3 linked regions of the Drosophila melanogaster genome follow. The gene in region 1 interacts genetically with each later gene. Each region holds a gene or a part of one and is shown on either strand. Other genes may lie near its edges. The genes, in order: put, anchor and NiPp1.

Region 1 (12,928 bases):
CCAAGGGAGCCGAGCACGTGGCCGACATGCTCAAGGTAATCTCTTAATCCCTGTAGATCTTTTTCTTTCTTTCTAGAAATATATCCTGGCGTTTTCAGTAGTATATGATGAAATTCCATTGCATATTTTTATTACCCTTCTTAATGGTCTTCCTATAACTGCGTTTATGTTTTTTATGTAATCAGATGCAAAAGATCACCCGTTTCACGGAGGGATGGGAGAAGTCCCTCCGCTACCGTAGCGTCGATGTGAACACGATTGGCGGTCTGCGCACGGTTTTGTTGGCTGACAACCCGGAGATTGGCGACGTGGGCATCCGGTGGATAACCGAGGTGTTGAAAGAGGATGCTTGGATAAAAAGTACGTAGAGTCCGAATAGTGCGATCCATACAGTTCAAATACCCCACAGAAATCGACATGGAGGGCTGCGGCCTGACGGATATCGGGGCAAATCTAATTCTCGATTGCCTGGAGCTGAACACGGCCATTACGGAGTTCAATGTGCGAAACAACGAAGGAATCAGTAAGTTCCTGCAGCGAAGTATCCATGATCGTCTTGGCTGTTTACCAGAGGAGAAACAGGAGCCAGAGTATGATCTCAGTTGCGTCAACGGGCTACAGAGCCTGCCCAAGAACAAGAAGGTCACCGTCTCTCAACTGCTGTCCCACACCAAAGCATTGGAGGAGCAGCTCTCCTTCGAGCGAACGTTGCGCAAGAAGGCCGAGAAGCTGAATGAGAAGCTTAGCCACCAGCTCATGAGACCCGACTCCAATCACATGGTTCAAGAGAAGGCCATGGAGGGAGGATCACAAACGAACATTTCGAGGGAATATGTGGCGCGGAATGATGTTATGCCAGAAGTCATCAAAAAGTGGGCTAGCTCTCAATTCTCAATTCAATGCCTATCTGATTTGAGTATTTCTTCACAGTTCCCAAAGCTACCGCCAGTCGCACTTCAACCGGCTGGTCAACAGTGCGGCCACCAGTCCCGAAGTCACACCCCGCAGCGAGATTGTCACATTGCGCAAGGAGCAGCAGCTGCAACGTCAACAACCCCCACCAATGGAGGTCAAGCATCTTTCCTTGGAGCAGCAAATCCGAAATCTGCGCGACGTGCAGAAAAAGGTGGACTTGGACGTGGAGGAAGAGGAGGAGGAGGAGGAGGAGGAACAGCAGGCGGAGGAAAGTCAATCCGAGTCGGAGCCGCAGAACGAGGAGCAACAGCATTACGAACAGCAAATGCAGGTCCAACGCAAACATCTCCAGGTGCGCAAGGTTCGCAGTGAGATTAAGTATGTGGAAAACAATCCCAAGGAGGCAGCCAAAAAGAATCGCGAGTCCAAGTCGGACCATGAGTTTGCCAACGAGAGAGATGTGAGTAGTATCCACAATATAAATTAACCAGTACTAGCAATTTATTCTCCTGTACGATAACCCATCTTATCCCCACAGTTCAAGCTTAATCCCTCTGTTCAATTCGAGACGGACATTGGCGACAATGTGATGGTCAATCCTGGCCACCGATACGAGGGCGGCGGGGGCGATACGGCCTATGTCTACAACTATGAGCATGAGCAGCAGCAGCAGCCAGTCAAGCGGGGCTACGAGCACGGCTATGTGGTGGGCGTGGGTGACGGATCCCACAGGAGGCAGAGGCAATCTCAACTGGTCGAGGCTTTGGTGCAAAAACGTGTCCCAGGCGCCAGCGATGGACATGTGGCGCAGTTCGTTAGCAATCTGGAACGACAAGCGAATGCTGGTAAAACGGGGAAAAAGCGCCTTAAACCTCGGCCTGAGGACGATCTTCAGGTACCAGTCGGCGACATGCACATGGAGTCGTCGTATATGTCCCGCTCCGAAGAACTCTCCTCAACGGACGTTACGCTGGAGAACTCAGACTACGAGACGGAGGCGACGGACTCCACGTTACTTAGTAGCTCGAAATACTCCTCCATGCATGTCTTTGTGCGGCGCAAGCAATCGGAGTCCATGTCACTCACAGAAGAGGCCGGCGACGGAGATGCCGGCGGTGGTGGAGGCTCTGGCGATTTCGGCGACCAAAATGTCATATCCCCGGCCAATGTCTACATGTCCCTGCAGCTCCAGAAGCAGCGGGAGCAGAGCGCCTAGGGGTCGTGACTTTAGGTTCCTCCATTCAAAATCCCCGCAGCCATTCGCAGCCGGAGCAGCGACACCACAGCTGGCTGATACGCCGAGCAGTAACAACAACAACACCACTACCACCACCATCACACCCACAACAAAGCAGCCAACTCGATTCGATAGGATCCCCACTGGGAGAGCTAAATTTGCAGTCATACTCCCGGGCAGTAGCAGTAGAAAAGGGAACCTGCTCCTTTTTGCACGTCCTGCCATCTGCGAATTCAAGCTGCACCAAAAATGTACAAAAATATACTTTGGTCTTACTAATTTCCATTAAAGATTTATTATTTGTGTGCTCCCTAAGCGAGTTTGTTGGACCTTATTTTCGGATGATTAACCGCCCCAAGTCAAAATGCACATATGCATGATATTGAGTTCTCTATGTGATATCTTTTGATTTATTTAGTCCGTATATTGTGAAATTATAAAATATTTGCGTTCGGTTAAGTTTGCGTTGAATACTACTGATTAAGATTCAATTGGATCAAGTATTTTGAATGTAGTTAAGTTAACTCCATGGTTATTTATTATGTGGAGGTTAGAGGGCGTGCTTAACCGCCAAATCCGTAAAGGGTGCGTCCCTGGCGCTTGAGGGCATAGACCACGTCCATGGCGGTCACGGTCTTGCGCTTGGCGTGCTCGGTGTAGGTGACAGCGTCACGGATAACGTTCTCAAGGAATACCTGTGAATTTTCCGAGAAATTAATCAGTTTTTCACCACTTTCCCTTCGTTTCGCCAGAACGTACCTTTAGCACACCGCGAGTTTCCTCGTAAATCAAGCCAGAGATACGCTTAACACCGCCGCGACGAGCCAAACGGCGAATAGCAGGCTTGGTGATACCCTGGATGTTATCACGAAGCACCTTACGATGACGCTTGGCGCCCCCCTTTCCCAATCCTTTGCCTCCCTTTCCACGACCAGTCATTTCTCAGTTGCTTCGTAAAGTTGGCTGAAAAGAAGAGAAGACGCAATAAACTGTAAAGCGACGCCATGTTTGGTGAAAGGTAAACGTTCATTTGACAGGTGAAAACTGTTGTTAATAAGTCTGTTTTCATACAAAATAATGGTCTCCAATTATTTTTTTTATGTTTATGCACAAAAAAACTTTGTTGACCGATTCTTCTATTATTTACTTAAATTTCTCAGCAACAAAACTCACTTCAAGAAATCTCCAGAAAATTGCTTGTGAGCGTGACCAGATCTCGCACACCTCAAAATACCTTTCGCAAAATGCGCGTATCTAGTATTTCTATTGTCTCACTACCAGCCCTGGTCAGTTATCGCCTATCGGCCATCGCTATCGCCGCCCCGTTGCGACAAAAAAGATTTAATCGAACCGAAAGACGTGCTCGCACTAAAATCGCTTGAAAACAGGCCCGCAGACCTGCGAAAAACGAAAAAGTGCAGCGCGCATATACTTTTTCAACTGTGCCCCTCTAGCTTAAAATTAAGTCGCGGCGAAAAGTCGAGTAAAACCCGCGGAAATGCGCATGCAAACGGCGTGTGGCCAGCAAAATCGCTGCCAAGGCACCGCACACACACTCGGCCACCCACACATACACACTTAGTGCTGTACTCGAAAAGTGCGAAGACAACAGGAACTCTGTGCCAAAATAATATTAACAGTACCCAGTTATTCCATTCCACTGCACCTGTCCCCGAAACATCGAAATATTCGCGTTACGTATACGCAACGAGTGCTGTAAACAAGTTTGCACAGGCGATAACAATGTCCAAATACGATCTGCTTTATCTAACGGCGCAGCTAACGCTGGGTATGTATTGCACTGCGAGTGTGTGGGTGCATACTTATTGGCGCCTTAATTCCCAGTCGCTTTATTATGTACATATGTACATAATATTATATTTTGTCTCTGCCTTACGATTTTCCTCTGTAATGCAAGCCGACTTCGATTTATAACCATTCGTGCGTGTGATTTTTGATGATATGGGGTGCGTAATGCTATTACTTTATTAATATCACATGGCGCTTGAAAAGTTCATATATAGGGTGTATAGGCTTTGTGATAGCTTTGTCCTATTAACCAACACATCAGAACATCTTAAATTTTCAGAAATTAGGTATAACGAATGTAAATGCTAGGAATCAAATCTATTTGTGAAGTGAATAATGTATACACTAGATACTCTATTAAAGCACCAACAATTGTACTACACAAATGTAGTAAAATATCGTAAGAATTGTTGACAGTGGGTACTACGAATTCATATGTTGAGCGCCAAACGCATACTCGGTATAAATCGATCGGATACCTAATTCCCAATCTTAATCCATGTGTGTGTGCGCTGAGCATTTCTTTGAATGGATTTTGCTGCATTAGGAACTTGTTGTATGGCAGGTTCTGGTTTCTCCCACCCTTTTGCTCCACCGGCCTCCCTCTCTTTCGCTCGCCATAGCCCTCTCTCTTTCTGTGGCGCAGTGCGCTCTCTTCCCTGTTGCTGCTGTTGTTGTTGTTGTTTCTGCTGCTGCTGTTTCCTTTTTCCGCACAAGCGCCACTTTAAACCCATCCCTTTCTGTGTGCATAATGTGCCTGCTTATGTATCTACTTTACTATAAAGCATGCACGCTTACGAACACACACATACATGGCCAGCGATCCGATTACCTAAAGGACAGTGGGACGAAAAGTGTTTCAAAGGATTGAAAACAGTTTGCTTAGCCAATGGTCAAGAAATATCAATCAATATATCGCAGGCTCGTTGCAATAAACGTTTTCAAAATTAAATTTTTTGTATTTACACATTTAAAAAGTGAATTATCATTTTAATTTTTATCAACAAAAATTTCGGTATTTGGATGAGGATCCCAGATTAAATCGAATTAAAGAATGTAAATAGATTTTCAAGAAACCTTACTGCAGGCCCACTGTGCACTGCATATCCGTGCATTGGGGCCATGCCCACTCAAAGGCTGGTGTGTGGCCAGTGGGGCTAATTCCGTGCCCAAATGGGGTGGCTTTCAATGGCAGAGGCCCCAGCTTAGGACGCTACTCCTGCTACTTCTGGGCATGCGATATGTGTACAAAGGATAGCGCCCACAAAGAGCTCGCTGAGCGCCCTCCCTTTCAGTCTTATTCCCCAAATAGGCTCGACTTTATTTGCCCACCCTTTGAGCACTTCCAACCGATAATTCCATTAACTTTGATCTTTAACTACGTTTTAACTTTTTGAAAGTCTTTACTCATGTTTTAGGACTGCTCAAATATATACTTTAAATATAGATCAGTGCTAATCTAAAACTAGAAAGATTATTAATCTATTTTCCCATTGTCTTCATTTAGTCTGCTGTCTGATTGGAATCCATGGATCTATTTTGCCCGGAAGTCATGGGATCATAGAATGCGAGCACTTCGACGAGAAGATGTGCAACACAACGCAGCAATGTGAAACACGGATAGAGCACTGTAAGATGGAGGCGGATAAGTTTCCCAGCTGCTATGTCCTTTGGTCGGTCAACGAGACAACGGGTGAGCCGTGCAGAAGTTGACGTTGTTTCAGGCATACTGATTAATTTTAATTTTTCCGTTCCCATAGGCATCCTGCGCATCAAGATGAAGGGCTGCTTCACGGACATGCACGAATGCAATCAGACGGAGTGCGTGACCAGTGCAGAGCCACGGCAGGGAAACATTCACTTCTGCTGCTGCAAGGGATCGCGGTGCAATTCCAACCAGAAATATATTAAAAGCACCACGGAGGCAACCACACAAGGTGGGTTCGGATCCGGTTTCGGATTCAGATTCGGTTTAACGTTTGCTGCTACTGGGGTTTTGTCTTTGGAGTGTTTACCCCAATTTTGTTATTTTTCCGTTTGCATATATTTTTTGTTTGTTTTTGTTATTTCGTTTTTTTTTTTTTTTTTTGTATTTTTACTGCATCTTCAAGTTGCAAAAAGAGGGCGTAGGCTTCGCCTACAAAATACCACTCCTCGCATCCGAGGCAGCGTTTTTCGTGTTAACGAACTCTTGACGCGAAGTGGCGCCCGCTCCCCCATCATTTTCTACATCCCCAGCCTCCAGCAACCCCTTTTCGGAGCCGCATGTGTTGCAATTTCTGCCCTCCTGTGCACGTTCGCTGGTTCGTTTTTATTTTTATAGTAAGGTACTTCTTTAGCGATCGGGTATAATGCGTTCGCTTTAAAGGATGCAACTGAAAGAGGTAGTTATTTGGTATAAATCCAATTTATTTCACTCCGATTATGAAGGCTTAATAGGATTAGACTCTACCTATTTTGAATGATACTTAATTGGCTTGCAGCCTTAACCCACAACGAGGAGAGTATCTGTTATCTAATACCAGGTATACAAGTGTCGAGTGACTTCATTCTAGCATCCTTTCTTGTTTTTATTTTTGGGGTGTTGCTGCTGCCTTTGACTTCGAAGCCCTGTGCTGCCAGGGCGTCTTTTGTGCCCTGCTCTTTGTTGTTTTGTTCTTGGGCCTAGCTCGCTTTTATCTCGAAACAAAATGAGGGGAAAAAGAGATGCGAAATTGGGGGCGAACTTTCGTTTTTTAGTTTTCGTTTTGCCTTTCATAGCAACCCCAGCAGCTGCAGGTGCATGCCGCCACTCGAGATGTTGTTCACCTGTGGCAAGGCAGCGTTTAAAGCCCTCTTTAATGTTCGTTCCCGTGTGTGTCCTTGTATCGTTGCAGTGCCCAAGGAGAAGACGCAGGACGGCAGCAATTTGATATACATCTACATTGGCACCTCCGTTTTCAGCGTGCTCATGGTCATTGTTGGCATGGGCCTTCTTCTCTACCGACGCCGCAAGCAGGCGCACTTTAACGAGATACCCACGGTACGTACATATCCTTGTGATGTTGCCGCAAATATATAATTTTAATTATGCAAAATTAAACCCTTTAGCACGAGGCTGAGATAACAAACTCATCGCCATTGCTCAGCAACCGTCCCATTCAGCTGCTGGAACAGAAGGCCAGTGGTAGATTCGGTGATGTGTGGCAAGCCAAGCTCAACAATCAGGATGTGGCCGTCAAGATCTTTCGCATGCAGGAAAAAGAATCGTGGACCACGGAGCACGATATCTACAAGCTGCCGCGCATGCGCCATCCGAACATCCTCGAATTCCTGGGCGTTGAGAAGCACATGGACAAGCCGGAATATTGGCTGATATCCACCTACCAGCATAACGGATCACTATGCGACTACCTCAAATCGCACACGATCTCATGGCCAGAGTTGTGCCGCATCGCTGAGTCCATGGCCAATGGACTGGCACATCTGCACGAGGAGATCCCGGCATCAAAGACCGATGGGCTAAAACCATCGATAGCTCACCGAGACTTCAAGTCTAAGAACGTACTGCTTAAGAGCGATCTGACGGCCTGTATAGCTGACTTTGGTTTGGCCATGATATTCCAGCCAGGCAAGCCCTGCGGCGATACACACGGTCAAGTAGGCACTCGACGTTACATGGCCCCAGAGGTGCTTGAGGGTGCCATCAATTTCAATAGAGACGCTTTCTTACGCATAGACGTCTACGCATGCGGCCTAGTCCTCTGGGAAATGGTGTCACGGTGTGACTTTGCCGGACCCGTCGGTGAGTTCCAGCTGCCTTTTGAGGCCGAGCTGGGCCTGAGGCCGTCGCTGGACGAAGTTCAGGAGAGTGTGGTAATGAAGAAGCTGCGCCCTCGTTTGCTCAACTCCTGGCGCGCCCATCCGGTGAGTGTGACTTCTGATAATGCTTTTAGTCAATGAAAATAACTTGTAACTTTTTTACAGGGACTTAATGTATTCTGCGACACAATGGAGGAGTGCTGGGATCACGACGCTGAGGCTCGTCTTAGCTCTTCGTGTGTGATGGAACGCTTTGCGCAGCTAAACAAGTATCCCTCAACCCAGTTGCTAATCAAGAACCACACCAACATTGACGACGCCAAGGAATCTACGAATTGCTTATAGAAGCGGTACTAAGCCACAGACCAGCCAGCGGATCTGTGGCTCTGCAAAAAAATCAGTTGAAGCTTTTTGCTTCGTAGTGGATAGTTGATCGTCGAGGTCGTAAGACGTTTCGTTTTTAGTTTAATAGTTTGTAGTACCATTATAAGCAGCTATAGAATGGGTTGATTTATACGAAAGAAGTCGTGTAAGATGTAACTTTTCCTAAGGGAAAAGCCAAAAGCTTAACATGCCAACGATTCTTTGTTATTATTTTCTTTAAATTATAAATCGACTCATTCGATGTTAACCCGAGTTCTTAAATCTGTTGGAAATGAGTGGAAACGTACACTAAGCAACTTTGAACAAAGAGCATTAGCTATGTCCAGAGACGTGGTAGTTGCTAATCCGACATTGACTTCATTGACTGATAACCATATATAGTTCTATATAAATCATACATATAACGTACAATTTGTTTTGCCCTCTGGCAGTAGCCTGTGTGCATATGTAAACTGTTGAAAATTATCGTCAAGCCTTTTAAAGTATAATTTTATTTGTACGTTATCGAATGTCTTCATATAGTAGTAGTTTTATATTTAAAGTTATTTTCAAAATAGATTTAACAATTTTAGTTTACTTTTTAGTTGTAACGTTTTTATTTCGCGCTCAAACGTGCATGCGTTTTAATGTTGTATTTTAAATAAAAATACTTTAAACTCCATCCTAACCATCTGATTTTTTATTATTTTGTCTGTTTTATATTTCTGCTTTTGATTTTTATTTTTTTATTTCCAAAACGTAGTGCCAATGACCCTCAGAAATCGCGTAAGCATAATAAATGTGTAATTATGTAATTGTATTCTAATTCTACTGGACAGTACAAGCAACACCTGAAGTTTTCAAAGGAAAGTTTCTTTTTAACAAGAATCTAACTTAAGCGCATATACATAAATTATAAAATATAAACTATACTCTTTATATATACACACAACACATACACGCATAGGCATACGGAACACACGCAGTCTAGCAGGTTTATATGAAGCACACGCTGCGACTCATCGTCAGCATAAAATCTAAACAAAAAAAAAATCAAAGTTAATATTCAACCCAAGAGGTATGCACACACTGTAAGAAATTAGAGCTAAACACAATGAGTAAGTATGTTAAACATTGTTAAACGGATAGTATGTCTTATAATGTTAGCCAAACAAGGTGTATGTCGAGCTATAGTTATTTAAGCTATAGTTTAATTAAGAGAGTCTTGGCGGAATGTATTATCTTTCGGGTTATTTGAAACTTTTTTGCGCAGCATCAGTTCTTATCAATGGCTAAGCATCTGAAATACTTCTGGATTATCAGTTAAGATATCAACTAAACACGATACACAACACAGAACAAAACGAAACAAACAAAGCTTCATTACCTGATTTTTTTGAGCAACTTACAACAAAAATAGTTTATTACGCAAACAAACAAAAACCAAACGACATAATCTTAATAATAGAACGAATTTTGTTATGCTGTATTTAATTTGTATATTTTCCATTGGTGCTGAAACATCATTACGACGAACATAATGATAATGAAGATAATAAGAAACGAATTCAAAAACAACCAGTATTTAAAGAGCGAAGGAATAAACAATTAATATTTAATCATAGTAGTTTGTTACATATCAGATTGCTAAATGGGATAGAGGAAGATAATATAAATCGATCATTTCAAAAAGATTTGCAGAGAAATTTTTATAGCATTATACAAGGCAATAACAAGCCAACAGCAATTTTGGTATATTTTTTAATGCATTTCATAAGTAAAACCAAAACGAGTTTATAAACAGTAAATTCATAAGAAAATCTTTTTAAAACACCCCATTTTCGAATATCATCAGCAAAGTTTTATAAAAACCAATATGCGAAAAACATATACGAGATGATAGCAAGTCGTGTTAAGAAGTTTACGATTAAAAAACGATCTTTGATAATAACGGATTTAAAATAAAAATGCAACTGTTTAATAAACAATTCATCACCGGTTTTTCCTTAATAAAAATCGACTCTATTCCAGCTTTCTTGCCACTTTTATTACAATTGTCTTCCGTAAACATTCAGACCTTCTGGATTATATAATTCAACAATACAGATAGGAAAACTTAGCCAAGAGCTACACATATCAGATACAAATATTTATATGAATAATATTAAATATACGGTTTATTACTGGGGGAGTTTTTAGAGTTATGTCCCTGATTAACTTATACAACGAAATCGAACGAATATATAGACTCTAGTACAGGCTTAATTGATACAAAATATATATATTTACAATCTTCTACGTAGTTTGTGACATTGGACCATTTCAGTTGTAGTTCTACGATCGTTCGTTCCATCCTCCGTCTGTTTTATAGACATATCAGACTTATCCTTGGCTTCGTAACTCTCATTCTTCTATATCCTGGGGAAAAAATCGATCTCTATCAAATGCAAAAATGTAAAGCATTCCAAGTCCTGTGCGTTCTGAATGGGTGTCTTACTAAAATATATACTTGTAAATCTATGTAAATCTATATTGATTCGGTTTCGCATTCCGTGTGTGTGTATAATCACCTAATCCTTAGCCATTCTCAGCTTACTGTATCGAGTATATCTTTATTGGGTTCTAGGCTTAACATGTACAATATATAATAGTATAAATAGGTATTAATGTATATATAAGTACTTATTGAGTTTGTACGATATGTTTGTCCTAGGGAGAAAACTTTGCAAGTGAAGATACAAGATACGAGATACGAGAGTATGCAGTTAGGGACGGTTTCTAGGTTCGTAAAGCGATCGCACTAGTGGAAAAACTAGCCGGGCAAAGGGTGGAGTGTGTTTATATAAATAGTTATACAAGAATATATAGATGCCCCTGTGCAGCGGGCAAGAAATCAAACATCATTCTGTAAGCAAATCGTCAGCACTATCCACACCAAAAGAATTTCTGCACAGTTTTGGGATTGAGTATATACGAGTATACACATATATGGTTTTAGTAGGTCTCATCTGACCCACCACCGGATACGCCGCACTTAGAGCGCAGGATGGCCGCCAGGCGTTGGGTGAGCGGTTCTGTCGGGGATTCTGAGTCGCTGCAGGAGGCGGAGGGTACTTTGTTGCCTGAAATGAAGGAATTAAAGAGGTCAATGTACGGAAATACTGATTAATCACACATATACCATTGCTCACGTCCAGGTCAGCTGCGGTGTTCTCCTTTAGGCCAAAGTTAAGGCTTACGGGCACGATATCGTCCTCCTCCTCCAGGAGCAAACTGGAGTAGGAATGTGTGGTGTTGTCGCTGCGTCCACCACCGCCGCTCGATGAATTCCTCGAGGATCCAGAATCGTTGTGGGAATGGGAGTGCGAGTGGGTATGGGAATGGTGTACGTGAACTGCTAGAGCAGCTGGATCCTGACCTGCATCGTCGATGGGCAAATCGAAGTCATCGCCACTGCTGCTGCTCTCCTCCTCGCCATCCATCACATCCACGTTGTCAATCTCATCATCGCCCCATCCATTATCCTCCTCCTCGGAACAATTGTTGCTGCTCTCGCTGCCATCGCCATCCGCATCAGCATCCCCATCCTCGTCAGCATCTCCTGCCTCATCCCCGTCCACGTCAGCCTCCACATCCGATGCATGCAGATCCAGAGCCAAGTCGGGCGATGAAGATTTATTGTAGTTCTCATCGCTGTCGCTGGATGTGGCCACTGGGGCAACGAGATAAGTATTAATTGACTGACCACACTGTTCATCTGCCCACCTACCTGCCCGCAACTTGTCCAGGATGAGGGGATAGAACTCTTTGGCCGTGGCGTTGTCGGGCTCGTATTGCAGGACTGCATCGGTGCGTATAAAAATATAAATTATAAATTAAAGAAATTATTACATTAAAGTCCCAAAAAAAGCGATTTCTCTGTCATATTCGAACAAAAAAAAGTTGTAATTGCAACTCTCGGAAGCATGGTGACATACTTTGGAAGCTGATTTTGTATTCTACTCACTCAATTTGCAATATTTCAATGCCTTTTTGTAGTCCTTTAGCATCACGGCGGACAGGAACTGCAGGAGAATCGAGAAACGCACAATATAATACGCTGCATTGCACAATACACGTTTAAGGGAATGCCAACAAATCCTTTTGAAATTCTCATAACATCTCAACAACAAAGGCTTATATATGTATCTACACCCCCTTCCATCTCGATCTACTGGCCCACATAGTGGGTAGGACAAAAAAGTTGACTCTGCTGAAAGTTGAATGCGCTCGAAAGCAATTTATTAGCAATCAATAAGCTGGCCAAGTGCGCTCGGTGCCGTAATCCTTCCGAAAGGACTTTAACTTAAATCCGCAATCTCCGCTGGCAGCACAGCAATTTGCATTTGCATAAGTTCCCCTCAAGGATCCTCGTCGTTTTTGGTGTCGAGCAACAAAGGGTAACTGTGCCACGCTGGGATAAGGATAATGAGTGAAATCTAATGGATTTTTTGTAGGCAAACGAAACAGTTGGGCAAACATAAGCTTATATAAGCTTATGGTTTTGTAAATACAACTTTGACATGCTATAGAAGGCTCAAAATGTTGTTTTTAATACTTCAAAAGCTTTTTACTCCTTTCCAAATCCCTATTATCTTTCATCTTAAACACTTCCACTGACCATCCATTTAATTGATAAGCTGGAATTGCTGCCACCTTTAAATATGTATAAACCCTTAAAAATTCACTCGGGCGGAAGTTGAAACTAAAACTTTGGCTGTTTGCACTGAAGCTTTAGCTGGCTAACTTGGTGGCAAGTTTAGA
Region 2 (10,209 bases), on another chromosome or scaffold:
CCTACTTATCGCTATATATCCGAAGTGAAATACAACGGATACCCCGCTGCAGCATTAGCATTAGTGGTGGAAAAAGGCAAGAAAAGCGAGTACTTTGGGTACAGATACGCCGGCAACTAGTATGATTTGGGCATGTGTGCGCGGACATAGACAATACCTAGTATATATTTTGAATGGTGCGCTTTGTATCGCCCTCCGAATGTGTCTAGAGCTTCAATAGCAGGCCAGGGTCATGCGACATGGGAGGAAAACTGAACTGAACTAGCGCGAAACTGAGCGAACTCGGGCGATTGTATCTGTGTGAGTGCGTGCTTATGTGTGTGTGTTTGTGTCTATTGATATTCGAGGGTTTGTTGGTGTGCGTGTGCTGTGTACGTAGTGCCCGTTATCGGAAGAAAACGCCAAAAGCTCGCGTTCATTGCCTTTGCAAACGTTTTCGACCCGTCCCTCTCCACACTCCACTCTCCTCTCCGACGATCACTATCTCGTTCTCTCTATCTGCGCTCTCCCTCGCTCCATATCACATTAAGATAGTTTTGGTAGAACTTTACTTTTAACTTTATTTTTGTAGCTACTAAATTGGGATTATCTTTGATTTAGTGAAGAATCCAAATTAATTTTGAGCCAGCGCTCTACTCGAAACTTTCTTATCAGCAGAGGGCTATCGCGTTTGTTTGGCAAATCCCATTTGGATTTTGTTTTCAAATATTTTTGTTCCTTGTTTTGGTTTTATTTTTGGCAAATGGGAATGGGGGAATGGCAATGTTTGGTGAGGTTGGTCAGTGATTCTGTTGCTCAGCGGCAAATGGAATAAATTTTAGGAAGTACGTATTTTCAGGGCCCTCAGGTCAGGCAGTATTATTTATTGCCCCCTTCGAAGGCCGATCGCCTAACTTTGACTTGCAAATCTGAATAGGTTTTTTATCTCAGCTTGTGGTTAACCAAATTGAGTAGAAAAACGAAACGGATTGACATGTAGCATTTACAAAAAACGTAATAAAATAGCAAAATATAATTTATTTGCTGTGGCTGGCGCTTTTATTGATCGCTTCTTCACTTTGTATCGAATTCTGTTAATTGGCTAAAACCCAAACTCAAGTCTTAACTGGGCCAGCGCTTTGGGCTGTGAAATTCTAGAAGGGCGGGGATTATCCAAAATCAAACATGCAAAAAGTTTTCTTGCCAAATTGAAATTCAGCGAATTTGGTTTTTTTTTCCTCAATTCTGGGATTAGTCATGCCCGCATTAAAAATAAATAAAAGGGTAGTGGGAAAATGTGCATGACCAAATATTTATTTCAATTATTGCACTGTAATGTAATGCATTACAATTTTTAGATTCATATCTTAATTGCTTAAAAATGGAAAAAAACGATACAATTAAATATGTATTCTTATTGAAAAAGTTTGCAAGTCATTTCAAATTAATAATGCATAATGACATTCCTACAAGTTTGATATGTGTGGAGCTCTTATCAATGCAAAGTGTGTTAGAAAATTTAACACCACCTAAACTATATTACCAATTGAAAATATTATATTTTATATAATGCAATCTCGTAAACAAAGCAAGCGTTTCGCACATTTTCTTTGAAAACATGTCAAATACTCGATATGTTAACAAAGAAAAGCTTTTATTAGTACTAATTCTATAATATAATTCTAGTACACAAAATGATCCTGCAGATTTTAGCAACTATTATTAAAGGATATTTTCGCTGGAGGCGCAGGCATTTTTCCCACCCACTTTTCACCCCGATCTTCTTCCTCCTAAAATTTTCAACACTTTCACGAACTTTCAAGTATGTAGCTATACATGCGTCTATGTGCAATGTATGTATGTGCACCGATGACGAAATAAATAGAGAGCTTTTTTTTGCGCCATTCGCTTCCTGCATTCGAGGCAACTCCGCTGCCGCGGCGAATGCAACGCTGCGTATGAGCGATCTGCTGGTCGAAAGGAAAACAAGGTTCTGGAATTAGTCACTTACCATCTCAAGCAAAAGTAATCCAATTGGCGATATATCCATAATGTTCCGGCAACGGCAGAAAAAAATCATATACCCTATTGCCTCGAAGTTTCTATCAGTTACTTTGCGATTTATCACTTAATTTCTAAAATTCTTGTGTAAATATGTATAAACTTTCAGGCACTTTTCTTTATGGGGGCGGGGGCGTGGTCAGGGGAGGGCGGGAAAAGCCGACCAAAGGCTGTCAGATGCCACCAGATATTTGGATTAATTAATTGACATTTTAATCATCACGCTAAGGCCACTTGAACAGCGAGATTTCTTCGCGCGATTTTTGCTGCTTCAGAACTCTTTGTAACGCATTTTATTTGTTTGATATTTTGGGATTGCACTTTTGATCGGTAGCAAAGCGTTTAATTAGCGACGCGACGGCGGCGACGACGACGGTGGGCGGGAAAAGTGGGCGGGCGGGCGAGCGGGCGTTCTGTCGGTTGGCGCGAACGCTGCAGTTACAGTTACGTTTGAACAATTGATTTTTGTTGCTGCTAATTTGTTTTGTTGTTTGGTTTTTGTTATGCGTGTTTGAAAAGCGAAGGTTTTCCTCTTCGCATTCGAATCGCTCGAATCAGAGTTGGGGCAAAATTTGCGACTGTCCGTTACAGCAGTCAAAAGACAACTAAACGGCGAACAAGCGTATTTTTGCACACAGGCACTGCGCTGCACTGAGACCCGCTCACGCACACCAGCGCACCTCCACCTCGCGACGACAACGGCAGAGAAACGCTCAAGTTCACGCTCTGAACTTCAAAGCTCGTTAGCGTAGAGAGCGCAAGCGAGGCTAAGAGAGCGGAATGCAATTGCAATTGCAGGGAGAGCCAAAGAGAGTAGGGAGCTACAGTGCATCCTCTGTACGTCGAAATTGTGGGAAATAGTTTTTGTTTTTGCGTACTTTATTTCCAACAACACCTTATTTAATTTCAAGGCCAAAAAATATATTAACATTGCTTTGCGTTCGATTAACGCTAAATCCATTTCAATTACAATGCGGCGGAAACTCATTCAGCAAGTATTCTGCTTTCTCAAAAAAGTAAGCAGTACATTATACTCACTTTTATACTCAAAAACTTACTTAAATTGAAAATATCGTAATTCAATGGCAAGCTTCTTCTTACCTGTTCTGCAAGCTCACCAAATTTTGTTTGAAATGAGTTTTTGACTTAAGTGTTTATCACGTATACGTACAGCTGTACATCCGATCAAAAAAGGGTCAAACTATTTAATTTACAATTTAAACTATATTAATTGATTTAACCGCTGGATAAAAACTAAAGAACGAATGTTTCATTGTTAAAATTTTTAAGCACAAACCTAATAAATAATAAATAATAATAATTTCTTTCCCTGAATTAAGTGAAAGTTTGAAGTTGAAATATATTAATGTTTTTTCACTATATATATTAACTTTCATAAATTAACCAATATAATGCGTCATTAGTGTGGCGTGATAACTAAACGGCTATTTATTGAAAAAACAAATGGTTACAAAAGTGAGACTTGAGAGGGAATCTTTGATGGCTCCATTACACATAAAATATACAAAGCGTGCCCAAGGTTCAACAAAGGATAAAGAATGGAAACATGAGAGCTGGCAGCTTGGCAGCTTGCCTATGTGGTCTTCAGCGATGTCGGAATCTTGGGCAAGCCGAACTCATCCGTTTCAATGGTGCTCTGTAAGAAATTAGCTCGTTAGTAAGCAATCAAGCTGCTATCCATATAAGCAGCATTATACCTTTCCAGGGACGATGCTGTCAGCTCCCGGCTCTCGACTCGGCGCCTCCGGAGCCTTGACCACGTCATCCAAATAGCTGGTGTCATCGTCCAAGGCAATCTCATCGCCCAGAGCATCCAACTCGGCCTGCAGGTCGTCGTCATCCACCTCAGGCATGCCGTACGTGCGGCCCAGTGCCTCCTGCACCTCGTCCGCCTGCTCAAACATATCAGCCATGTCGTCTTGGATGTCCTTTAGGCAAAAGGATAAAAATTAATTTATGTTCATATTTCTGGGACATTTCCATCTCTTTCCAGCTAACTATGCTTACCTCGATCTGGTCGATGTTGATCTTCTTGTACTCGGTCTTCATCTGCTTGACTCCATCCTTCATGGCCGCCACGGTGGCCTGAGTATCCTTCAAGGATTGCGCCGCATAGTTGGCCTGTTCCATGTTGAACGACTGGTTGCGCAGAGATTCTGCCTGCTGTTCGTAGCTGTGTAGGAAACAAATAAAGTTCAAAATGGTTTAAAATACTCATTTAGAACAGGACACAATAAAAAAATTGATTGTGGATGTAAATTTCATAAGGTAATGGAACTTATAGATTAGGAAATGATAATTTCAAATGTCTGGAGAAGAGTAACACTGGAGGTTTGGAATATAATCGATACTAGGCAGTGGGTGGGGCATTGAACGTACGCCTTCTTTTGTTTGAGAACCCGGAGGGCCTTCTGTTTCACGGAGTTCTTGGCAGGACCTTCTCGCATCTTGGACATTTGTTCGCGGTATTTGCGCAGCTCTGCCTCCAGATTACTGATCTTCTCTTCGATGTTTGTTGCTCGGGCATCGACCTGTTGAGTGTAATAAATTGTTATTTGCTTTGTTTTCTCCATGATTTCGACACTTACCCCGGCGATGCAATCGTTTAGACTTGGACCCGGCTCCTTGGGCTTACCACGACCAAAAAGGCGATTCATATTGACTGCTTTATTATTTTAACTACAACACGCAAAATTTATGGGAAATTTGTGGGTTTTCCACTTTAATTCGTTCTACAAATTTTGTTTGATGACTAATTGTCTTCTTCTTTTTCCTATACCAATCAGCTGTTTGGACCGTACAGTGTTGGTGGGCAGCACTGTTTGGCAGGTCTGTCAACCAACGACTTATTGTTCTTAAATGAAACTGTTTTTATTGTAATTTGGAAAGATAACTCATTCGAACTGGTTTGTTTAACTGGTTCGATATTTAGCTTATATGTCGTTCAATTTTAGGAAAAACTGTGTAAATAACAGATATTTTAACGGTCTCTTTGTAGCACTGCCTTAGTATTTTTGTTTGGTATTTTCATAACATATAAATGGTGTATTTTAGTACATTTTGGTTGCCCCGCTGGTATTACTTAACGACCGCGCTGCGGTCCCACCATTCGCATTGCAAATTAAAAACAAAACGCATCGGCGGGCGCTTTTGAGCTCTTAACTACGTTAATTTGCGCAAATTAATAAATTCGTTTAATTGCCAAAAGCAAGTGCTGCGGACTCAAAAATCAGCAATGCGTCGTTCGAACAGATGAAAGTGAAATCAGCCTGCCGGGCATTGCGATTTTCGACCATTTTCGACTATTGAAGGAAAATAGAGTGCTAATAATACACAACAACAACCATCAAATTGGCAAACAAAACTGCGTAGATAAGCGATTAAATAATAGAGCAACATATTTGCCAGCAACATAAAGTAAAGGTCGGCGAAAATCCAATAAATCCGCAGCTGGCCCTTTGACGTCACGGCCCATCAGCTGCTTGGCCCACCGGAGCACCCCACTTTTTCCGCTATGACGCGCAGAGTCGCCCACTAACAGTGAACTCCCACGCTTAGCAGCCACTCCACAGTAGTCCCCAATGGACAGCTCCATGTACTACGCCAGCCAGCGGATTGCTGCCAGCACAGAGGCTAATGTCAGAGTCATCACCTCGACCATGGCCTCATCTTTGGCCAATGGAACGGCGACGCCACGCGCCGACGACGGGGGCGTATCCATGAACAACTTTTACCCGGCGTTGGTTCAGTGTTTCGGCATCATCATTTGCGGGTTAGTAGATATATTGGGGAACTTCGCACCTAGATAGTGGTCCCACGCATCCTTCCCGATAAGATTACCCGTATATTCCACCCCAAACACAAAAACACCAGGTTGCTCGCACCCCTAAAGCTCATTTGCAAGCCTTTGTTTGATTTAGGTACAGCTAAACAGCCCTAATTCGGTTTTATTTACTTTATTGGGCAGAACATTGTGTACACTTTTTATTAGCAAGCTCACTAGGGGACAGCACAGTAGTCATAAACCAATAATAAACCAATTTAAATTATTCTCAAAGGGAAATTATAGCTACCACTGAAGCAAAGTAATCATTCTTTGCTAAAATATCAAAAATAGATAGTTTTAAGGAAAGAAACAAACATTCTTAGGAATCTTAAATAATCTTGAAATACCACTCTTTAAATGTAAAAAACTACCAATAAAACGTTTCAGTTTGCTTAGATATTCTTAAAAGATAGATAGTTTGAGTAATTGAAGTTACAATATAGCTTGCCACATCCCACGTAGGATCCTAACTCGAACGTATGTATTTCACCCCTTATCGCAACGATTATGGGGAACGTGCGGTCACTTGTACAGTGACCAGCACTTATGACGGACACCGTCTCGATTCAGTTTCAATTTCTCTGATTTGTTTTCACCCACTTATCAATTGACACTCGAATTTTATTATCTGTGGCAAACTGCTGTCTCACTGTCTGTGCGTACTCCGATTCAATCGTTTGTTTCTTCAAACAAACTCAGCAATTATCCGAAATCAGCTAAATTAACTTTTGTTATTTTTAGAAACGGAATTACCCAAAAGAGATTTATTCGGGTTTAATTAGGCTTTTCCGCAGCAGCAACTAGCCTAATATTCCCCATAAAATTAATTTCGATCTATTATAAAAAGAGTTGCCTAATGGCCAATGCCTATTTGTTGATTAGATTTTGTCTCTATTTCTTTAATTTATGCTGCAGTTCTTTTAATTGCTGATGCATTGCGAAAGAATGTTATGCTAAATTTGTTGGCGTTTGCAAAGGTTATTTGAATTACAAAATTTCCGATTAGTCATTGCAAGTCGGTCGTTAACTGATATTGTTTGATCATTCACGTGAAAATCCAAACCTTTGAAACATTATGTTCCGGCTATTTAATAGGGAATATCTCTGCTGGCGTATGCTGGAATTTTTCCCAATGTTTAACCACCGATTTAGCAGTTATAATTAGAGGCGGTTTCATAAATCTGAACTAATTCCCGCCGGTCGTGGCACTTTTCCTGGGAAATTGCCGTGAAGCACCTATTAACTTTGACATACAAAAAATTGCTCAATAACAATGGGGAGCGGCATATGTAAATTGTAAATTTGCGCTGCTAGCTCCCATATCAATCATTATACATGCATCTAAGCCGAAACTTAATTGCCAGTGGGCAATAATCGAAAGTAAAACGTTTAGAGAGTGCGAGAAAAAACGTACAAAATCGGTATAAACAATTACAGCAATGACCTTGCAATACAGCGTAAACAGTATCGAGCCACTCCACCTGAGGCAATATTTGCACCTTTTTTGTACGGATTATGCAACCGCAATTACCGATTTGTCTACCGACCACTGCCAATTACTGGCGATATGCATGCCCACCCAAAGATCCACCGCCAGGCAGATGCACCTCATCCAACTGTTCAAGCAAACAGCTACTGATATCGCCTATACAAACTCGACTACAAAGTCGGATGCGATTATATGTTATTTAACTGCTCTCCCTTCGCGTTCGTTGGCATCTGACTTTAGAATTTCGTTCTGCACTTGCAAAGCCAACTGAGGTAATACCCTGCCTTTAGTCCTTATCATTATTCGGCCTTTAAAATGTAAATGTAATTGAGAAAAATAGATTGCTTTAGCTCTTAGACTTATCTATAACTGATTTGATTTTTGATTTTTGTAATAACTCAATTTCGTATGGTAAATATTTCTCTTCAACTTATTAGCTTTTAATACCTCACTATTTTCTTTGAAGTACAAATTCCAAGTATTAGCAAACGTAAATCATATCCCTATGTCAATCAAATGTCTCCCCAAATGCAAATATTTATCACCCTTTTGACACGCTGTTATGAAAGGGTAGCGAAGAGATGCACATCGCTTCCAGTTTTAAGTGCTGCTCGTAATGCAATTAAAGTTTGTTTACGATTGTTATCGCATTGAAATTATATTTAATCATTTATTTGATGAATCTTTGTTGTGTGTGTTTTCGCTGTGAGAATTTGATTGACTCGCTGTGATCATTTTTCTTTATGATTTAGGCTGGAAATAACCTGATAAGCGCTACCAATAATACAGGGGCTATAAACACCTCGACTCGTTATGGTTTTAACTGTAGCAATAGTTTGATAATAGCATAGACATTCGCAGGTGTTTCTTCATCGGATTCTGGGCGAGAGTTGCCCAACAGGTCGGTTCGCAGTATTAATAATATAATGAACTTGCACTTTGTTTGGGCACGTAAGATGAATATTTGCGTGCCGATCCTCACAGTTTGCCAATTAAGCTTTACTTCTTTTTTAGAGGTATATATGTATGTACATTAATGAGTTTTACCCGGTTGACTAATTTGGATTTCGTTTCTCTCGACTGAGTTTCTAGAACACTTGTTTTGCTCAACAGATAAATGAGCGAGATAAATAAGGAAAAAGTTTTTGACGTTTTCTGTTTAGTCTAGCTTTTTGTTTATGTACAAATTCTGTGGACAGACCTTACTCACAGACAACAATTGTTAAAACTTGTATTTCAGACCCAAGGGAATGTTAAAGTGGAGACCCATATATAAGGCTTTCATTCATTACTATTTTTATCAAGTATTTTCCTGATTTCCATCTTATAAATATAAAAGGAATTTCTTAAGAAAAGGGCATGAAGAATTTCTCTATATTTGCTTAATAAAGAGACTGTAATTTCATCTTCCGCCCTTGTGGCTCTCGCATAGGCACACTTCTTTATCAGTCATGTCTTGTAACCTCTTCCACGCTAAATAAAACATAGATAATGTCTACAAGGGTTTCGCATTCCTAGGAAAAAGCATTCTCACAGAAACCTATGACACATGGCGCTTCGCAAACGCAGAAGCTGAGTTCTGCCAATATTAACAATAGCAGTCTCGCAAATCTTAAGGAGATAAGAGCTTCCCCAGGTTATTCCCACAACATGCAGTGAATGCAATAAATCGCGTTGAGTCATAAGAAAAGGTCGCTAAACTAGTTCGTTTAAGGCAGGGGGAAGTACTCCCTACTCCAGATTAACAGACAAATTAATTTGTCTCGTCGAATGTGACAGAAATACAGATTTTCGCTCGAAAATAAAAAACGTTTACAAATCTTTGTTAGCCAAGAGACAGTCCGAAATAAAACTGGTTTACGAGTGGATCACGTGTGGGGCTGCGGTGAATGTATTTTATATGCATGTAGAGTACACTGTACATATTGATTAAGAGTTTCCGCCTTTCCGGCTGGCTGGGTTATTAGCATTAAAAATATACGCCTTTTGGTGAGGGGGGCGTGGCCCGACACGCCTTTACAACATGATTAGTGGTGTAATGTGTTCCCCTTTTACTCGCTCCTTGTTGCAGTTACATTGCCGGACGCTTCAAGATCATCAGCAATGCGGAAACCAAGGGTCTGGGCACGTTTGTGGGCACCTTCGCCCTGCCCTCGCTGATCTTCCTGTCCCTGGTCGAGCTCAACTGGAGCGCTGTCAACTGGAGCTTCCTTCTGGCCATGCTCGTCTCCAAGGCGGTGGTCTTCTTCGCCGTGCTGATCATCTCGCTGCTGGTCGCCAGGCCCCTGAACTACGCTCGCGGCGGCCTGATGGCAATATTCTGCACCCAGAGCAATGACTTCGCTATCGGCTATCCCATAGGTGAGTTCATGTTACAAGAACCTGGATATTGCATCTAGAAATATATGCAACTTTATATAAATTCAATTTCACCTAACATTCTATTTTTCCTTCAGTTATGGCTCTTTATAAGGATGTCCATCCGGAATATGCCTCGTATCTGTACCTGATGGCTCCTATCTCACTGGCTATTCTAAATCCAGTTGGTCTGGTCCTCATGGAGATCTCCAAGATAATCAAGAACAAGGAGGATGTGGTTGGTGTTTATCTAAATCCCTCTCTCTGCAAATATACCACAAGTTCTTATTCTTTGCAGACCCGCAATCCACCATTGTGTCCAGAAACTTGTCCCGCGGAACAGATGTCCAAACGGAATCGCTGCCTGGGTGAACGGTCTATACTGGTTTTCAACACCCTAATTGCACTGTTCTTTAACCCGTTGCTGCTGATGACCTTGCTGGGTGTTGCAGGAGGATTCCTGTTTCCCAACGGT
Region 3 (9,208 bases), on another chromosome or scaffold:
CCAAGCGCCCTGAACTGCAGCCCCTAAATCTAAAGAAGAGTTACGAACCCTCGCAGACACCTGAATCCGCACCCGTACCCGCATCTGTGATAAACGAATCGATTGGATCGTGCTTTAGTACGTCTGGCTCGTTGAACAACAGCCTTAAGCCGGTGGAGAAGATCGTGCTGAAGGAGAACACGCCCGGGCAGGATCTGCTGGAGTGGTGCAAAGAAGTTACCAAAGACTACCCCAATGTTAAGGTTACCAACCTGACGACCAGCTGGCGCAACGGCATGGCCTTCTGCGCTATTATTCATCATTTTGTGCCGGAGCTCATGTGAGTTGTCATGATTACGTTGAATTTCTTATTGAGCACTTTATTTACAATCAATTGATTTATTACAATTCCAATTCTAACTTTAAGTTATAATAACGGGACTGAATAAACTAATAAATGCATTTCAATTCATAGTGACATGTCTAAGCTGAGCGCCCATGACGTAGTTGGCAATTGTCGAATTGGCTTCGATGCGGCGGAATCATTAGGAATACCTCGTGTAATCGAGCCGCGCGACATGAATATGCTCACGGTACCGGACAAGTTGGCCGTGATGACCTATTTGCATCAGTTGCGGGCGCACTTTACCGGCAAGCAGCTAAAAATTGAGCAAATCGGTGAGCGAGTTCTTAAAAATGGTCATTATAATATAACATAACATAAATATGCTTTTTTTTTTTAGGTTCAACGGCAGACGAGTCGAGCTACGTTATTGGAGACTACAAGTCGGACAATTTGTCGCAGAATCGCATTAACTTTTCGCACCCCAAGTCGTTGTTGCTGCATCAAAACTCATTCGATGAGGAGATAAATGGTTCAAATAAATCGGAGCAACTTTCACCCACAAGCAAAAAGGATGTGAAGAATTTGATTCTGTACAACTCGAAGAATATTCTGGACAAGGTGCTGTCGCCCACCAAGGACAAGAACTCGATCAACGCATCGCAGCATGCAAATCAATCGCCGATGTTGAGCTGCCAGACAACACCGCCGCAGGATGAATCACTGGATAAAGGGTCACAACCGGGTGGCAAGGAGAACAGCTCCATAACCACCATTGATCCGCAGGCGGCCAGTGTGAGTAAAAAGCCAGCACCACAGTTGCCTCGTTGAGTTGAATTTATGCATTGAGTTGTTGCTTTGGCTTTGGCGATTTATTTATTTATCTACTTAGCACTTTATTTCCTAGACCTTTTCAGTTTTGTATATATTGTTGTTTTCTTTATTTCGCTTTATTTTTGATTTGATTTGTAGCGAATTTTAACGCGCCACAAGATGATGAGCGAAAAAGCCAAGCTGATGATGGAAAAGCGAAAGCTTAACAAAACCAGCGACGCGAACGACGTAAGTAGCTTCTTGCTTAAGCCGCAGTTCGCCGCACGAAGCGCAGCTTATCTCTAGCATGTCTTGTTAAGTTAAAATATCTGATTAGTTTTAAGAATTTAAATACATTGAAAAACATTTTTTGAACATTTTTATGTATTCATTGTTTAGAACATTACTTGTTTTGTTAAACTTGAAACTTGTGTACATGTGGCACTCATAAAGTGTCGCTCTTTAACAATTATCTACACAGATTTTGTTTCACTTTTTAGGAAAACCTCTCATAAGTTTTATAGTTCTATATTTTGTCATACAAAGGTGCTGCCTTGTATAAATCCTCACTTAGTTGTTTCAATGTGTTTGCCCCGGCAGGAGGAGAGGCAGCAGCGTCTGCTGGAACAGGCTCGTCGCCTTATCCTGGAGACTCGTGTGAAGAGCGGTGGTTCCATCGAGAGTCCCACCAGGCCCAAGCTGGAGCGCACCATCTCGCCGATCCACAACGGAGCCGAGGAATTCTATGCGGAGCACGCGAAAAAGCTGGAGCTTAAGGAGCCAGGCAGTCCTAGTCATAGGTTAAGTGATCCGAAGGTCCTACAGTCCTTCAACGCAATCGTGGAGCGCGTCTCACCAAAGCACGAGAAGAGGGTAAGCCTAAAACATACAATTAGTCTACTTTGTCTTTCATCTTGATTTAAATTAATAACTAATTTAAGTCATTTTCGCATCGTTTCCAGGGTGACAAGCTGTCCTACATCGATTCCGAGCTGGAGGCCCTGGAGCGGGAGCAGGAGGCTATCGACCAGAAGGCCAGCAATCTGGAGGCCAAGCTGCGCGCCGTAATGGGCGGCAATCCAAGTAATAATCGTCGGGGTGGCGCTAGAAACAGCAACCCCTTCCTTAGGCTAATCCGAAATAGTATTGGTGGTGGTGATGTGATACGTATTAAGCTGCTCGATTCGGATGACGAGAGCCTTTTTGGTGGAGGTGCCGGTAGTGGTGGCGGTCGGAGCGGGGCGTGTAGCGAGGACGACGATAGGGACACGTCCAGCGATAGTGTCTGCAACTCAGGCGACGAGTTGCACACGAGGCTACGCCCCCGGCCACGCTCCCATTCGTGCTTTGTGAACAAGAACCATCAATCGACCATCAACACGCCCGCTCATCTGCGCCCGCATCATGTACATCACGTTGTGCCCTATACCCACATGCTAGACAGCTCCCCGTCGGCGCTCTCCTCGCAGCAGTCTTCCTGTGATAATCTGCCTGCGTGCAGCGATGATGACGAGGTCCTGGCGGTGGCGGCCAACGGTCGTGCGGCCTCGTTGCGGCGGCAGCAGGATCGTCATAGGCGACGCCGTCAGAGGCGGGAGCGGCGCTCCCATTTATGTCACACTCCCAATCATTGTGGTAAAGTGCGGCCCATCCTATCATGCCTGTACCATTGAGCTGCCCTGCTAATTGCTAACTGCCAGAGCACTGCCACGCCTCACCGCCTGACTGCCGATCGCCCAGATCTTCCGCCTGCTCGCTCGCTCGCTCGCCTCTTTCAACCGCATCCACTCGCTCATTCTTTGTGCCGTTTGTTTGTTCCAATTAATGTCTGTGTTTGCTTGTTAACTTGGCGGGCAACCGTTCCAACTTGTGTCTAACTATGTTCGGACTTGGTTCTAACAGCTCCGATGATATAACGCTCACTAATCACAGAGTCCTCCCTCTGCAGCAGCTTTTGAAAAAGGCAAAGGACGCCTTCTTAGAATAAAGCAAAGCACGAAGCGCCTGTTCTGGTATTGCCTATTTCAAAAACTGTTTTAAAATACTTAAGCCACTTATGTATGGTTGCGACTTATGTAGAAAATCAATTTCAGTAGTATAATCAGAACAGGCAGGCTTTAAATAATCTTAGTGCTTCACAAAGAAAACCCCCATCATTGCCTTTTTATAATCAGACACTTAAACATTCCACAGAGACCGAGGAGACAGAGGAGCAACTGCTATCGCAATGGTTTACGCTGGTCAACAAGAAGAACGCACTCCTCCGGCGACAGATGCAGCTAAATATACTGTAAGTTATCACTTAGAACTACTATCGGCTTTGTTTCTTATTATTATCTACACCCTTCAGCGAGCAAGAAAAAGATTTGGAGCGAAAATATACAATGCTTAATCAAGAGCTGCGGGCGGCGCAATCTGTGGAAGATTGGCGCAAAACGGAAGTTCAGCGTGAAAAGGAGCGACTGCTGCTCGAGGAACTGATGACGATTGTCGACAAGCGCGACCAGTTGGTTCAGCACTTGCACAACCAAGAGATAGCGTAAGTGAAGCACTTTTCCCATCATTAAAATATACGAAGCTAACCCTCGGACTCGTTTAGGATCGAAGACGACCAGGAGATCGCGAGGAAACTGGAGCACGTGGACATCAGTGCTGAAAAAGACAAATGTGTTCTTCAATAGAAATCGAAATTAACCAAACCTGACTGGAGATTATACTTACACACACTCAATCTTATCTATGTAACTAGTTAGATAACAACTATGTTCAGAGACACGCGATAAGGTCGCGTGGTTTTTGTGGTTCGGTGTCGCTTCTTATGCAATCGTTATATCCAACGACAACAAATACTTGGACCACTTGGTATGGTTATTAAAAAAAAAAAGGTATACTGTGAAACAAAACAAATTGCTTTTGTATTTAAGCAAAACAATTCAAGAAATAAGAACAAAACGTCCGTTAGTGAACTAAGTAAAAAGACAGGCACACGTTTATACACCTATTTACGATAATCAGATCTTGGTATTACTTTAAATTAAATGGTGGTAACTTTGTTTCATGTTTCGTTGTTGTGCCATCTGAACCACTCCTAACTTATGTAAATCCTGAACGCAATAGCGATGTGAGATAGGGAATTGAGGAGGCAATTTTACGTTAGTTTTACTTTAGCATTTATCCCACATAACTAGAAACGCTTCATCCAAAAATACACGTACACTTATATATTTATGAATTACACTTATACAACAAACCTATCTTAACATACCTTATTTAGACCCGTACATTTGCTCTAAGTTAAGCAAAGCGCTTTAATCATAATTTAAAGGTGGCTTATATACTTATATAAAATACATTTTAATTTACTTTGCCCAGGCGAATGTTGTATAAAGAACTGTTCGACCCAAGGAACATTAATAGCTAATAAAAGAAACGAAAATGCTGTCATCAGCATCGAATAAACCCAAAACCATTCTAAGAAGTCTTATCCGTTGTTATCTGGGAAAGTTACTCCAATAACAAAACAAAAATGCGTCATATCGATTTATTTATTTTTTTGTATTAACAGGTTTCTCAATACAAATACTTAACAGAGTATCATTTTAATTGACTCAGTAACAAAAAAGATTAGTCACGTCGAGAGGTAATAGTTTTTTTTATTCGATCAACAGTTTAGTGTACAAAAATACATTTGTTTAATGCAATCAATCGTTAAATTAATATCGTCTTAATTGAGTGATAACATATGTATGTATATATACTCGGAAGCTGCATTATTTCCATGGATCACTTGAGAATTGCTTAAATGATTGCTAAATTAGCAGAGATTTCATCACATTGTACTTGATATTATTTTCGTTTCTCTTGTTCCTTCTGAAAGGAAGTCTTTTAATTACTCTACAACTCGTCTACGCATATAATCTAAAAGCATGCAAAGAGATTTAAAAGTTCACAACTAAGTGACGTCATGACGGCGCTACCATTGCTCTAGTTCAGCGATAAATAACTACAAAAGAAGCGAAATCAAAGTTGAGTATAGGACACAGCTACAAAAACAACAAATGCGAAGGATAGACTAACATTTGGCGTCGCCGGAGATGAGGCAGATCCGTGCGTCATTTCGTGGAGCTCCTCGTCGGTGTAGGTCTGGTTGGCAGCCTCGACCTTGTAGTTGAATGTCGCCGATACGGGCTTGTGGTCGGAGAGAGTGTAGTCCATGTGGGACTGATAAGACAGCTGGTTGGCACTCAGGGTAATGCCCGGATAAATGTTGCTCTGCACGCGATGCAAAATCCGATCGCACCAGGCGGGTCGCCGCTTCAAGTTGTAGTCATTAGTGCCTTCCACGAACTGCAAGGAAAATCAAATGAACTTTATATGGGTGCTAGAGATAAGGCGAATTAATTACATTCGACATATTGCCTCATAAATTAGTTGGATTTTGCTTTTCTCATGAAATCTGTGGAGCCGAATGAAGTGATTGATTGATGAAGTGATTGGCGGAAATTAAAAATTCAAGTGCAGATAAAATTAATTACACCCACCCCTATATACATTATTTAGATTAAGATTAGAAAGTTCAAGGCAAACTTTGACTGTAGAGATAATAAGATTGTATATTAGATTGTTACCTTAAAAGTGGGCGCAAAGTTGGGCTGCTGCTCCTCCAGCAAGCTGAAGGCGTTTCCCTTCTCCCGGAGCAGATTCAACTGGTCGAGCTTGAGCAGATCAGCGTATCGCTGGTTCTCCACATCCGTGCGGACATCCCAAGCGGACATATCGCCGGAGAGACGGAAGTTAAGATCGCCAAACCAAAAGACAAAGTCGTGATCGAATATCCGGCGATATCCCTGCGCATTGTACTTGTGATTGTCCACGATTTGGTGATAGTCTTCGATGCGCTCCTTCAGCTTCTCATCGTGCGCCGCCAGATGGGAGCAGACGAATGCGACGCCAGTTCCGTAGAGCGAAAGTCGAATGCTTACGGCACCCTTGTTGCCCCACAGCCCTCCAAGTCCCGTGCGCGTGGCTTCTGTCTCGATTTCTTTCATGTGCGGGATGTGCTTGTGCTGTGCGAACATGGTTATAAGAATTCCCTGCAGCTGCTTCGAGTCCACCTTTACGAACTGGTGATCGCTCAGAGAGTCCGCGATCTTCAGCACCCACGGATCGTCATTGAAGATTTTTAGCACCTGCGGTGTGGTGCTCACCTCCTGGAATCCGATTACATAGATATCGGGCAGCTGGTTATCCGGACAAGTGGTGGTGCCATTAAGGGACAAAAGGGAGCTCAGATCCTGATTTCGCGGCGTATGGGTGCCCACGTTCCAGGTCAAAAGGAAGATGCACAGATCCGCAATCGCCGTGGCCGTAACCATTTTTCCGCCGTCTAATTATCTATGATTAATACTTGTTGTTTTGGACGTCACAAGGTGGCTGTTGATGAGTTCATGGGCATCCAAAACAGGTTTACGGATTTGGCAGCATCAGCAAATAAAGCGAAAGGCGTTTTGCACACGCAACTTTCATTTATGTAACCGTTAATTCTTCAGCACTAATTTTTTAAGCCGCTTTAATTGGACTAGGAAGCGCTAGTTGCCCGTATTATTTATAGAATACTCAGATGTCGTTATTTATGTTTATTTGTCCGTCCGTTGCGTGAGCTTAGTGTGACCGCAGCACAACTATTTAAATATACCTTAGGCGGCGGCAAAAATTTTATGGTATCTCGATAGTAACGGAGCTCTGAAGCTCATCGAAAACATCGGCTAACATGAGCTTCTCATCTAATTTAGATTTTTATTTGAAACACATTAGATATTATAAAAGCCAAAAATCAATTTAAGAAATATAAAGATATAAGATTAAAAGTTGTACTGTGCGTAAGTTCCTTTAAAATAATAATACTCTTATTTCATTGTTTTTTTTTTTACGCGAGAATGCCCCTTTGCATTTGCTTGTGCTAAACCGATATTATCGGCAACTAGTCAATTGTGTGTACACACTGGCTAAGGATTTTTCATAAAAATAAACACTTTGTATAAACTTACCTTCCGAACTATTTTACTTAAGTTAAAAGTATGGCTAACAGCTACGACATACCCAGTTGGTGCGTTGTCAAATTCAGCCGCTGCCTTGCCACAAAATCACGTAGCATTTTATTTATTTTAGGGCTGGAAAACCGCCCACTGGCTTACATCTGGATGTGCTAAAGGACGACAAACTAGTACAAAAACTGATGGTGGATGAAAAAAGATGCTATCTATTTGGTCGCAACAGTCAAATGAACGACTTCTGCATAGACCATGCCTCTTGTTCGCGGGTCCACTCGGCGTTTGTCTACCACAAGCACCTCAACATAGCCTACCTCGTGGATCTGGGGTCCAGTAGGTACTAAGATATCTGGGATTCGGAGTAAGCTTATCCATTTACTTTTGACAGCTCATGGCACCTTTATTGGAACACTCAGATTGGAAGCGCACAAGCCCACACAGCTGCAGATTAATAGCACCTTCCACTTTGGGGCTTCTACCCGGAACTACATACTCAGGGAACGACCCTCTGGCCACCACAGCAACATCATGGAAGACCTGCCGCTCAGTGAAACCAGCGATGGAGCTCTCCTGGGCCTACCCGAAAGCCAAACGGAGCTTGATGTGCGTTTGGTTGAAAAGAAAAGCTAAATACTATGTAAACTAACCTTCCATTATCCTGCAGAATCTCACAGAATACAACACAGCCCACAATCGGCGCATCTCAATGCTGGGCATCGATGATGATACCAATATGCGAAAGCAAAACGCCTTGAAACAGGGACGGCGCACTCGAAATGTCACATTTAACGATGAGGAGATTGTCATCAATCCTGAGGATGTGGATCCTAATGTGGGACGCTTCAGGAACTTGGTACAAACCACTGTGGTGCCCGCCAAGAGGGCTCGCTGCGACGTCAATCATATGGGCATCCATTCGGGCAACAGCAGTTTGTCCAGTGCCAATGCCGCACATGTACACCAAATGTTCCAGCAGAGCCTAGTTGACATGAAGCAGCAGCATAGGGAAATGCCTCCGCCCAATGCGGTGCTCCACTCGCCTACTAATTCCCTATATCAAGGTCTACCGGCCGAAATGCATGGCAAGGGTGACCTAGAGCCCATCTCCCCGCTGAGCATTGGTTCCAAGTTGGGCCTATTGCTCCCGAATCCTGCGCCTGAAGTGCTGCCAGTCTATGACGAAGCTGTGGAGACCTCGACATTGGCTCAAAAGTTGGCCGTCGCTAATGCAAACGGTAATAGTTCTCGCGACTATTTGTTTAAAAACTTACTGATTGTTTATAACACCATTTTAGTTCGTCGCTTTGGTGAGGATCCGCATGACTCGAGTGGCGAAGGCGATTCGCTGTGCCCACAGAAAAAGAAATACGCCAAGGAAGCATGGCCAGGTCGCAAGCCCATGTTGGGGCAGCTGTAATTGCGTATTAACAAAATAATTAAGATTCCACCTACGATTTTCTCAAGCATATGATTGACAACACACTCTGGAGTAATATTTGTTTATTAGACTTTTAACGTAAAACAAAACATTTAATATCTTTATCTGATCACATCTTGCAGCTGTGTGGATACCTGGGGAAGGGTATCACATCACGAATGTTTTTAACGCCCGTGACAAGCTGCAAGTAACGCTCAAAGCCCATTCCAAATCCTCCAGTTGGAACTCCTCCATACTTTCGCAAGTCAACGTACCATTCCAGATCCTTCGGCAGATGCGGATGGGATTTTAATATAGCAGGATCGCTTTCACGCAGGCTCCCGCCGCATAATTCTCCAACAGCTGGCATCAGTAGGTCTAGGGCATGAACTCGATTGGGATTTGAACGCGAGACTTTCATGTAAAAAGGTTTCTGCTGAGCTGGCCAATCCACAACGAATACGGGAGCACCACAATGGGCCACTAAAAAAAGTTCTTGGTCCTTGGAGAATCCTTCGTTCAGGCTAATAGGAGTCTTAAGACTGTCCTTGTTTTCCTGCAGTACTTGCAGGGCTTCATCGTAGCTCATTATCTTCCACGGTACTT

What was found.
Region 2: of put (region 1) and anchor, changing one suppresses a phenotype caused by changing the other (phenotypic suppression), as found in Drosophila melanogaster (one study listed by BioGRID).
Region 3: of put (region 1) and NiPp1, changing one enhances a phenotype caused by changing the other (phenotypic enhancement), as found in Drosophila melanogaster (one study listed by BioGRID).

Annotation. Positions count from the first base shown.
Region 1 is NT_033777.3:14,616,213-14,629,140, reverse strand, and holds put (punt), read left to right. Parts: upstream 1-3,437; 5' UTR 3,438-3,895; coding exon 3,896-3,941; intron 3,942-5,468; coding exon 5,469-5,654; intron 5,655-5,721; coding exon 5,722-5,898; intron 5,899-6,837; coding exon 6,838-6,983; intron 6,984-7,051; coding exon 7,052-7,867; intron 7,868-7,927; coding exon 7,928-8,107; coding exon of another isoform or gene 8,108-8,119; 3' UTR 8,120-10,111; downstream 10,112-12,928. Other genes in the region: CG7886 (uncharacterized protein), read left to right, coding at 1-35, 186-360, 410-872, 931-1,375, 1,454-2,131; His4r (histone H4 replacement), read right to left, coding at 2,716-2,847, 2,912-3,091; CG14853 (uncharacterized protein), read right to left, coding at 11,120-11,247, 11,307-11,837, 11,895-11,966, 12,132-12,189.
Region 2 is NT_037436.4:17,616,661-17,626,869, forward strand, and holds the start of anchor (anchor), read left to right. Parts: upstream 1-5,163; 5' UTR 5,164-5,642; coding exon 5,643-5,833; intron 5,834-9,447; coding exon 9,448-9,737; intron 9,738-9,832; coding exon 9,833-9,972; intron 9,973-10,032; coding exon 10,033-10,209. Other genes in the region: Vps60 (vacuolar protein sorting 60), read right to left, coding at 3,635-3,697, 3,759-3,989, 4,069-4,234, 4,441-4,592, 4,650-4,718.
Region 3 is NT_033778.4:17,003,063-17,012,270, reverse strand, and holds NiPp1 (nuclear inhibitor of protein phosphatase 1), read left to right. Parts: upstream 1-7,121; 5' UTR 7,122-7,212; coding exon 7,213-7,241; intron 7,242-7,303; coding exon 7,304-7,518; intron 7,519-7,573; coding exon 7,574-7,788; intron 7,789-7,849; coding exon 7,850-8,420; intron 8,421-8,480; coding exon 8,481-8,602; 3' UTR 8,603-8,708; downstream 8,709-9,208. Other genes in the region: Ehbp1 (Eps15 homology domain containing protein-binding protein 1), read left to right, coding at 1-319, 455-657, 723-1,117, 1,736-2,008, 2,098-2,770, 3,329-3,425, 3,486-3,674, 3,735-3,816; CG6805 (uncharacterized protein), read right to left, coding at 5,156-5,482, 5,764-6,510; AsnRS-m (Asparaginyl-tRNA synthetase, mitochondrial), read right to left, coding at 8,733-9,208.